2 linked regions of the Oryzias latipes genome follow. The protein of the gene in region 1 interacts with the protein of each later gene in a biochemical or structural test. Links are inferred from orthologs where the notes say so. Each region holds a gene or a part of one and is shown on either strand. Other genes may lie near its edges.

The links.
Region 2: the proteins of atg9a (region 1) and ap2m1 interact in a biophysical measurement, tested with the Homo sapiens proteins (4 studies listed by BioGRID and IntAct, with this or other methods). The link is inferred for Oryzias latipes from reciprocal best matches to the Homo sapiens genes ATG9A and AP2M1.

What each region holds. Positions count from the first base shown.
Region 1 is NC_019880.2:8,206,182-8,209,679, forward strand, and holds the end of atg9a (autophagy-related protein 9A), read left to right. Parts: coding exon 1-17; intron 18-635; coding exon 636-795; intron 796-1,090; coding exon 1,091-1,270; intron 1,271-1,359; coding exon 1,360-1,572; intron 1,573-1,658; coding exon 1,659-1,868; coding exon of another isoform or gene 1,869-1,879; intron 1,880-1,967; coding exon 1,968-2,087; intron 2,088-2,180; coding exon of another isoform or gene 2,181-2,195; coding exon 2,196-2,439; intron 2,440-2,585; coding exon of another isoform or gene 2,586-2,612; coding exon 2,613-2,791; downstream 2,792-3,498. UniProt on the Homo sapiens protein: Phospholipid scramblase involved in autophagy by mediating autophagosomal membrane expansion. Cycles between the preautophagosomal structure/phagophore assembly site (PAS) and the cytoplasmic vesicle pool and supplies membrane for the growing autophagosome.
Region 2 is NC_019875.2:21,533,901-21,538,325, forward strand, and holds the start of ap2m1 (AP-2 complex subunit mu), read left to right. Parts: upstream 1-1,438; 5' UTR 1,439-1,653; intron 1,654-3,963; 5' UTR 3,964-4,011; coding exon 4,012-4,085; intron 4,086-4,425. Other genes in the region: dvl3 (segment polarity protein dishevelled homolog DVL-3), read left to right, coding at 1-111.

The sequences.
Region 1 (3,498 bases):
TGTATCACCATTTGTCGGTAAGGATCAGTTTGCCCTTTCAGATTTTCCTATCAGTTATTTTGTATTCTTTTTTTTTAAAGCTAAAGCTGGTTTGTAGTTCATTTTGCATTACACACAGTCAAATACTTAAGCAACAGTATCATTTAACTAAGGAAATCTTAATTCTATTTATTGGGATATCCTTTTATAAGATTTGAGGTCTAGAGGAAGACCACAGAGGAGGTTTATGGATGCAGTAAATGAGGACATGAAGGTGCTAGATTAGAGGATGCAGAAGATCGGGTTAGATGAAGGAAGCTGATTTGGCGACCCCTGAGGGGAAAATAAGAGGTATTATTATTAATCTCATGTTGGTTTATTTTCTAAAAGTGTTCCCAATTAATTAGTCATTTAAGAAAATTATTTAGATCTAAAGCCTTATTGTAAAAATCTTTTGAAATTTTAAAGTTTTAAAGATGCTTTTATTTTTCAGCTAATGAATAATCTAAAGTCACAAATTGAAAAGGAATTTTTTAGGACTTTTAGACTAAAACTTTGTTTCTCTGTATCTGTAAATTGATTTTTTGTTTAATAATCAAAAAATAGTGTTAATAGTTCAATAACGTCCATGTGGTTGTTGGTATGTTTCCCTACAGATCTTTTATCCCGGATAAGCACATGGTGTTTTGTCCTGAGCAGCTGCTGCGGGTCATCCTGGCTCACATTCACTACATGCCGGACCACTGGCAGGGCAATGCGCACAGATATGAGACGCGAGACCAGTTCTCACAGCTCTTCCAGTACAAGGCAGTGAGTTAGAAAAGCTCTTGCAACAAATATCAACACACACTGTAAAACATTTGACTTTTGTGGCTAAGTGACAGAGCTTTCCAAAAGGCATTGACAATTTTTAGATCCTTTTCGGGTTAAGCTTTAAATGAGGTGACTCTCATGAACCTCTTTTCTTTCATTAAAAACAAGATAGGAGTCAAATGAACTATCAACATGTAAAAGTTGGAGAGTTTAGTCCTAATTTCTTCTGAAAACTAATCTTTTCTGGAACATTTCCGTTTATATTGTTGCACTATTTTGCTGTTTCATTTCCTTCCAGGTGTTTATTTTAGAAGAGCTGCTAAGTCCTGTGGTGACTCCCATCATTCTCATCTTCTGTCTGAGGAGGAAATCTCTGGAGATCATCGATTTCTTCAGAAACTTTACTGTAGAAGTTATTGGAGTCGGAGACACTTGCTCTTTTGCTCAGATGGACATTAGGCAGCATGGACATCCTGCGGTGATTTTACTGATAAAACTCAATTGTTTTTTTTAAACTATAAATTGTGGCATGTCAAGATTAATTGTTGTTTTATTTTCCTTTATTAGTGGATGTCGGAGGGAAAGACGGAGGCCTCTATCTACCAACAAGCAGAGGATGGGAAAACAGAGTTATCGCTGATGCACTTTGCCATCACCAACCCACACTGGCAGCCTCCTCAGGAGACCACACACTTCATTAGCCAGCTGAAAGAGCGAGTTCACAGAGAGGCTGCAGGGGCCCCTTCTGAAACACATCCGCTCTCTCTGTCAGAGTCTGAAGTAAGTCAAAAAACTAAGATTCAAGCATATTTGTTTGAACCTAACCCTTTCAGAGGTATAATGCTCTCCTTTTCTGCATGTCACAGCCAAGGAGCCTTGTAGCAAACCTCTTAGCAGGACCCTCCAGTCTGGCCTCAGTTCATTTTGGTTGTGACAACTCTTTGATCAACCATGCAGTGGCTGGCAGTGATGGAGCATCTGCCTTGCGTTCCCTTTCTCCTGTCAGCAGCAGTCTTCATCTGAGAGGCAGTCTGAGTATGGCTCAGAGAGCTAGTGGCTTCACTGGCAAAGCAATGAGTGGTTCAGGGTGAGCAAATCTGCTAATTTGGCTGCTTCTTTAGTGCACAGCTTGTCCGGTTTTTATATTTTCCTCAAATTTTTCTACTTCTTTCCTCAGAACTGATGCTCACACTGTAAGCTCAGGCAGCAGTGCATGGGAGGGCCAGCTTACTAGCATGGTTTTATCAGAGTACGCCTCTACTGAGATGAGCATTCATGCACTTTACATACATGAGGTAAATCCCCTGCCGTTTATGAATATGTCACTCATTTGATCAATCGTATTACTTTTACCGGTAATCCCCTTCGTTGTGCCTTGCTCCCTGAAGCTCCATAAACAACAGTCTCGGGGTGAGCTGTCCCGCCACACGTGGCACAGACGAGAGAGCGACGAAAGCAGCGACAGCATCCCAGACGAAGTAAGAAGCGACCACAATCCTCAGTCGAAAAGTTTCCCCCGCTCGCACACTTTTCCCACCGTGGTGTCCAGCCCAAGTGCCACTTCAACTTCAGCTAACAGCAGTAAGCCCAAAGGCCAGGAGGAAGAAAAATCACAGAGTCAGCGGCGCCACAGTGGACCCGCCACAGGTATTCTGTGCTTTGATTATAAACAGCTTTTTCATTTTTTTAAAATGTTTTTCTTATAGAATTAACCGAACAGTATTTAGGTGGTATAAAGATCTATGAAAAATCCTGGCACTTCATCATTTTTTTGTCTTTGTAACTGTTTTTAGATCATTTCAATGCGGTGGGAAGACCAGTAAGGGTGGCTCGTGTACCTATGGGTGGATGGGCAGTAGATGGTCAAGCAGCACCAAGACACCACGAGGCTGTGCCTGAAGAGAGTTCTGAGGATGAAATGCCTCCTCACATCCACAAGGTTAGCACCCTTAATGCAATAGATATAACTGCTTTGCTTGCATGTGCTGGACCTCAATAAATGCTCTCTTTGTCTCATTTCAGGTTACGTAACCCAGCCATTTGTGGCATACTGTTAACCCAACTCATCCACATCCTGGTTCAGATGTTTCCCAGAACTGACATTTTTTCTGACAGAGATATATACGTGCAATGTCTGCCATCCTTCCAAAACTCAAGTGGGGTAGCCGTCTGTCTACGTTTTTGCAGGATTGGAAAATGCAGTTAGCTCATGTAATGATCTTAATTTTCATATCAGCTCTAATTACTACAGCATTTCAAGCGGCAGAAAAACCAGACACATTTTAACAAAGAAAATCATGGAGCTTCTAGAATTGAGGGTACACAGAACTTCTTTTTTTATTATTATTGTTTTGTGTAAAACTGTTAAAATTAAATAGGGGCAGGGTATTGTACACAGCCTGTCCTCTGTCTGTACTTGCTTTTTGCCTCATCTTTTTCCCCCCAAACATTTTGGATGTTTACTGATATTAAATCTACATGACATTTGAATCTGTGGCTGCACTAGTAAATGTTCTTGGCTGATTAATTTAGCTGAAAATCCTTTGGTGTGGAAATATGCTTTTGTAAAAGATAACTGACACAAATGTTTTTTTGATTTTACATTAATCACAAAACAGATCATGGATCTAATACAGGGATCTCCAAACTTTTATGCAAGGAGGGCCAGATTTGGTGAAGTGAAAACGTGTGAGGGCTAACCAATCA
Region 2 (4,425 bases), on another chromosome or scaffold:
GCCCCACAAGGCAGAGAGCTGGCCTCTGTGCCCCCCGAGCTCACCGCCTCGCGCCAGTCTCTGCGTATGGCAGTGGGAAATGCTGGAGAGTTCTTTGTCGATGTGATGTGACTGTAGCCTTCTGTTGGAGAAGAAAGTATTAGATTGGACTTTATCAAATAACAAGGCTGAGAAGGACAGCGTGACATTGTGGGAGTGGGAGATTAACAAGTTGGAAACTATGGCCTTGATTTCACTTTCCTTTATAGCAGTCCATTTTTTGCATGCCAAAAGAAAAACCTTCACCTCATTTGTGCTTCTGTTCTTAGTCATTTAGTTATAAGCGTCATACTTTCTTCAGTGAAGAAACAAAGCCTGGAACCAAAGCGCCTTTCACAGCCTCTGCTCCATGCGGGGAGACGTTTTGTGCAAGGACAACAAACAAGAGAACGGAGGGAGGCTTGGAAACGATCTGCTGGGGAAGAGGATGAAGTGCTTTAGCTTCCAGATGTTTTCTAATGTGTTCTGCTGTTTTCTATTTCTTCCAACCTCTCATCTGCCTTCCTGATCTGACACTACATGTCCTCATAGTGTACATCAGAAATGAGAAAAAGAGCCTTTTTCCTCCCTCTCTTGTTTGTGCACCTAAATTCTGACCTCAACCGAAGAAACTGAGCAGAAGTTTAAAAGAACTCAACCTGAGTCAGATCTTTGAATTGTTTAACACAAATGGAAAAAAAGTAGTGCAGGAGAATTTTTTTTTTTGCAGTAATGATGCATTTGTGTTATAATATTCATCATTTTCTAACCCTTAACCTCAGCGTTTAGCTCTATAGTCATTTTTACACAACACCTCAGCTGCTTTACCAGAAAATCATCAACCTGTTTTGTATAGTAGAAAATGTTTCTTATCAGACTTTTCACACTACTCTTTTACTGAGAAAGAAATGTCTTTTTTATTTATAAAGATAGTTTTATGATATATCTGTGTGTTTGTGTGGTGTTTTTGTGCGCACTAAAGAAACTGGTCAGATAAATTCCGTCATTCTGAGATATTTAAGGTCATGATTGCATTTCAAAGCAGTGAATTTAAGACTTCAGGTGAATAAACAAATGATATAATGAAGGTTGAACAAAAGCAGATTTAAAAACATTACACAGAAAAGTACGAATATATTATGAGTGAAAAACTTTTAACTTTTATAATCAACTATATAAATTTATATATTGCTCATTATTTGAGATCAATTTGTTTATAAATTGCAGGCGATTATTGACCAACAATTGTTTTTGACTTAAAATGGTCGAAATCAAAGTAAAAAAATATCTTTGGGTCTTTTTGGTGCGATTGATTGGGAACATTCCTCAAGGCTTGGCCTATCGCTTTATTTTATAAACTAGTTTGAAAATACACATTTCTAACTACATTGGATGAACAGCTCGTGTAGTTTCTCAACTGCTAGGCAGGCCTGGGCGCGGTTAACACCCAGCCATCGTACTGGCCGCGCCTTTTCTTCCTGTCAGCGGAACAGGCGTGCGTAAGGACGGCGAGTCAGCTGACAGTTATCGGGGGACCGGGGCAGCGGGTGTGTGAGCAGAGATTCTGCTCTGCAGACGTTATATTTAAGACCAGGCGGGAAGGGAAAAACTCCTGGTGTTGGTGAGAGGACCAAGGTAAGTTGACAAATTTGTCGTTGTATCCGGAACGAAACGATTAGCTAGAACCCAGTGACTCGCGAAAAGCAGGTCAGCGCTTTCCCCTCTATGCTAACGTTAGCAGCTATTTGCCTAGCTAACGTCAAGCTAGCAGGAGTTAGCCACACGATAACAGAAATGAAGTAATTTCCATTTTGTGGAAACGCTGAAACTGCCGCGTGTGCATGAGATGTTTAAAACACATTTGTCGAACGAGCGACATTGATTGTTTTAACAAACACGTAACCGTTTTGTGTAGAAAACCTGTCAAGTCGCAGAATTGTAGTACTTGTGACCGGATATTCCGTTTGAAAATTCGCCATGCACGACGGTATTTCACTGGAAGCCATCGCCTGCTAACCCGCTATCGCTAGCTAAATTAGCTTAAATTAGCAGTCTGCTTTTACCGAAGAACAAACACTCGGCTGTGTTGCGTCCACGTAACTGTTTAAACAAAACGTTACTGGTAAACTTGGCCCTTGCTTTTCTACAAACATTTGAAATGTATGACTGTATGAAAATGGCCCCAGTGAGTGAGCAGACATCTTGACTTCGCCAGAAAAAAGAGGCGATTAAATCTCTTCAGGTTTTGTGCGGATGGTTAAGTCACGACTTAGCGGTGTTTAAGCGGAAAACATGCTGCTAATCCTGCAGCTAACGTGTCAAGTCTCCCATAGTGTCGGTTTTTCGATGTTTGGATTTTCTGCTCGAGGAATTTGAAATGTCCTTCATGGTTTCCAGAAGGTTCATTCTTATCATCAAGGAGAGAAAAAAGGAGGGACAGAGAGAAATTCCTGTCTCCAGCAGCCCTTAAGTTACTTTTTGTATTTTTTTAAACCTTAAACTGCTACTTCTGTTTTTTTTTTTTTTTTTTTTTTTTTTTTTTATCTAAATTAAATTGATGAGCATTTGTATTCGGCTAAGTGACACATCAAAGACCCACTCCAATTAAAATTGTGTTTTTAACATGTTCTTGACTTGTGGCACTTTTCTGATTATAGAGGACGTACATTAAGAAAATTGAGCTTAAAATTGTGTTTGAGTATTTCTATATTCAAATTGCTGTGAATCAGGAGCAGACGAAAAAACTCCATTGGAAAATGCTCATAGCAGGGAAGTAGGTGCTGCAATCATTGGGCCACAAGCTCTGTACTCCGCTACATTTTGATGCATCCACTTGCAGACTAATAGATCCATCCATGCATGTCTGCATTTTCCTCGCCTGAACTGATATCTGGCTCAACACTGGACAGCTGGACAGCTCCAAAAGTGCTCGCCGTTTTTATTGCTCCAATAATTGGGTTGGAGGTGTGAATAGCTGTAAGCTAGCGGGAGGGCATTAAAACAGATGGATAGAGGCAACTTGGAAACAAACTACCCATAACAGCTCCTAATCTTCTTCTTCTATCTAATATGTCACTGGAGGAAAAGAACTGCCGTTTCATTAGTATGGAGATCCATTGCCTCATCAAGTCAGCGTGTTGGATATGTGTGTGCATCTTTTTGCTTCCTTCGAGTCCGAATGGAAGAAGTGCAGCTGCAGGAATTAGTCAGCTGGCAAAAGGGAAACGAGGATGAGAGAGAAAAGAGGATGTGAGGGACAAATGTGTCTCTGTGTCACCAGCGGTGACTCCCTCACTTTCACTTCTCCTGGCTAATTTTTAATCCTCCATGTCAGTAGTTTTCAGGTAGATACTCAATATGACTATGGATGGAGGCTTAAAACCAACTTTATATTCAAAAAGGATGCATTTTTCTTGTAAAATTACAACTTTGCTCTCATAATTTTACGACTTTGTTCTTGTAAATGTTGATTTTTTTTTTTTGTTGTACTTAATTTTTATTTACTTGTATGGGGCCTTAATATTTTGTTGTAGATATGTACCCCAAAAAGGTACTAGATTTAAATACATGTTTGTATTTTTCAATCATGCATATGAAGATCCCAGCAAAAATGATCACAACAAAAAATGAGATCTTTAACACAAGGTGAATATGTATAAGAAGTAAAACACATTGTGTGGTATTATTCTTTACTACACCAACAATTTTTTCTTCCTTTTTTGATACACAAATCACATTTCTTCATTTAATTTTTATTTTGTATAAATTTAGTGCTTTGTAAAAAAAACTATATTTATAAACTCTGTTTTAAAGATTTTATTGATTCATTGAAGATTTTCCATAAATAAAATATATTCTGAGAGTTACACCTTTGTGAGGGGGGGGGGGGGGGGGGGAAGCTTGGGGACCACTGCCTTCATGTCGTTCCTTTCTGTTTTTTGCCAGGTGGTGTTTGGTTTCATCATGGCAAGGTGTGTTTGAGAGGCAGCCACAATGATTGGAGGACTGTTTATCTACAACCACAAGGGGGAGGTCCTGATCTCCCGTGTCTACCGAGATGACATAGGGTATGTTTGACACGAACTAACCTTCTGTAAGTCTCCTCAAGTTGTGGAAGACTTCAGTTCAATGGAACTATCTGGATCCTGCGTTGGAGGGCTAGCTGGAGTTGATCTCCTCGATGAGAGGATTATGTCACCACATCCAGCTAAAATCATGTCTGCTTGTGCAAGGAAGCTGAGTTAGACGTAAGCCTGGATTAAATCATCCGCTCATATAACATTGTTTAAGGGATTAGATGCTATTTATTTAACAATCTGAAGGCCTATGCAAATTGAATAAATGATTAGAGTTACAGATGCTCAGGCGCATTATCAAACCACACTCTCTGCTTTAGCTAGAGCTGTT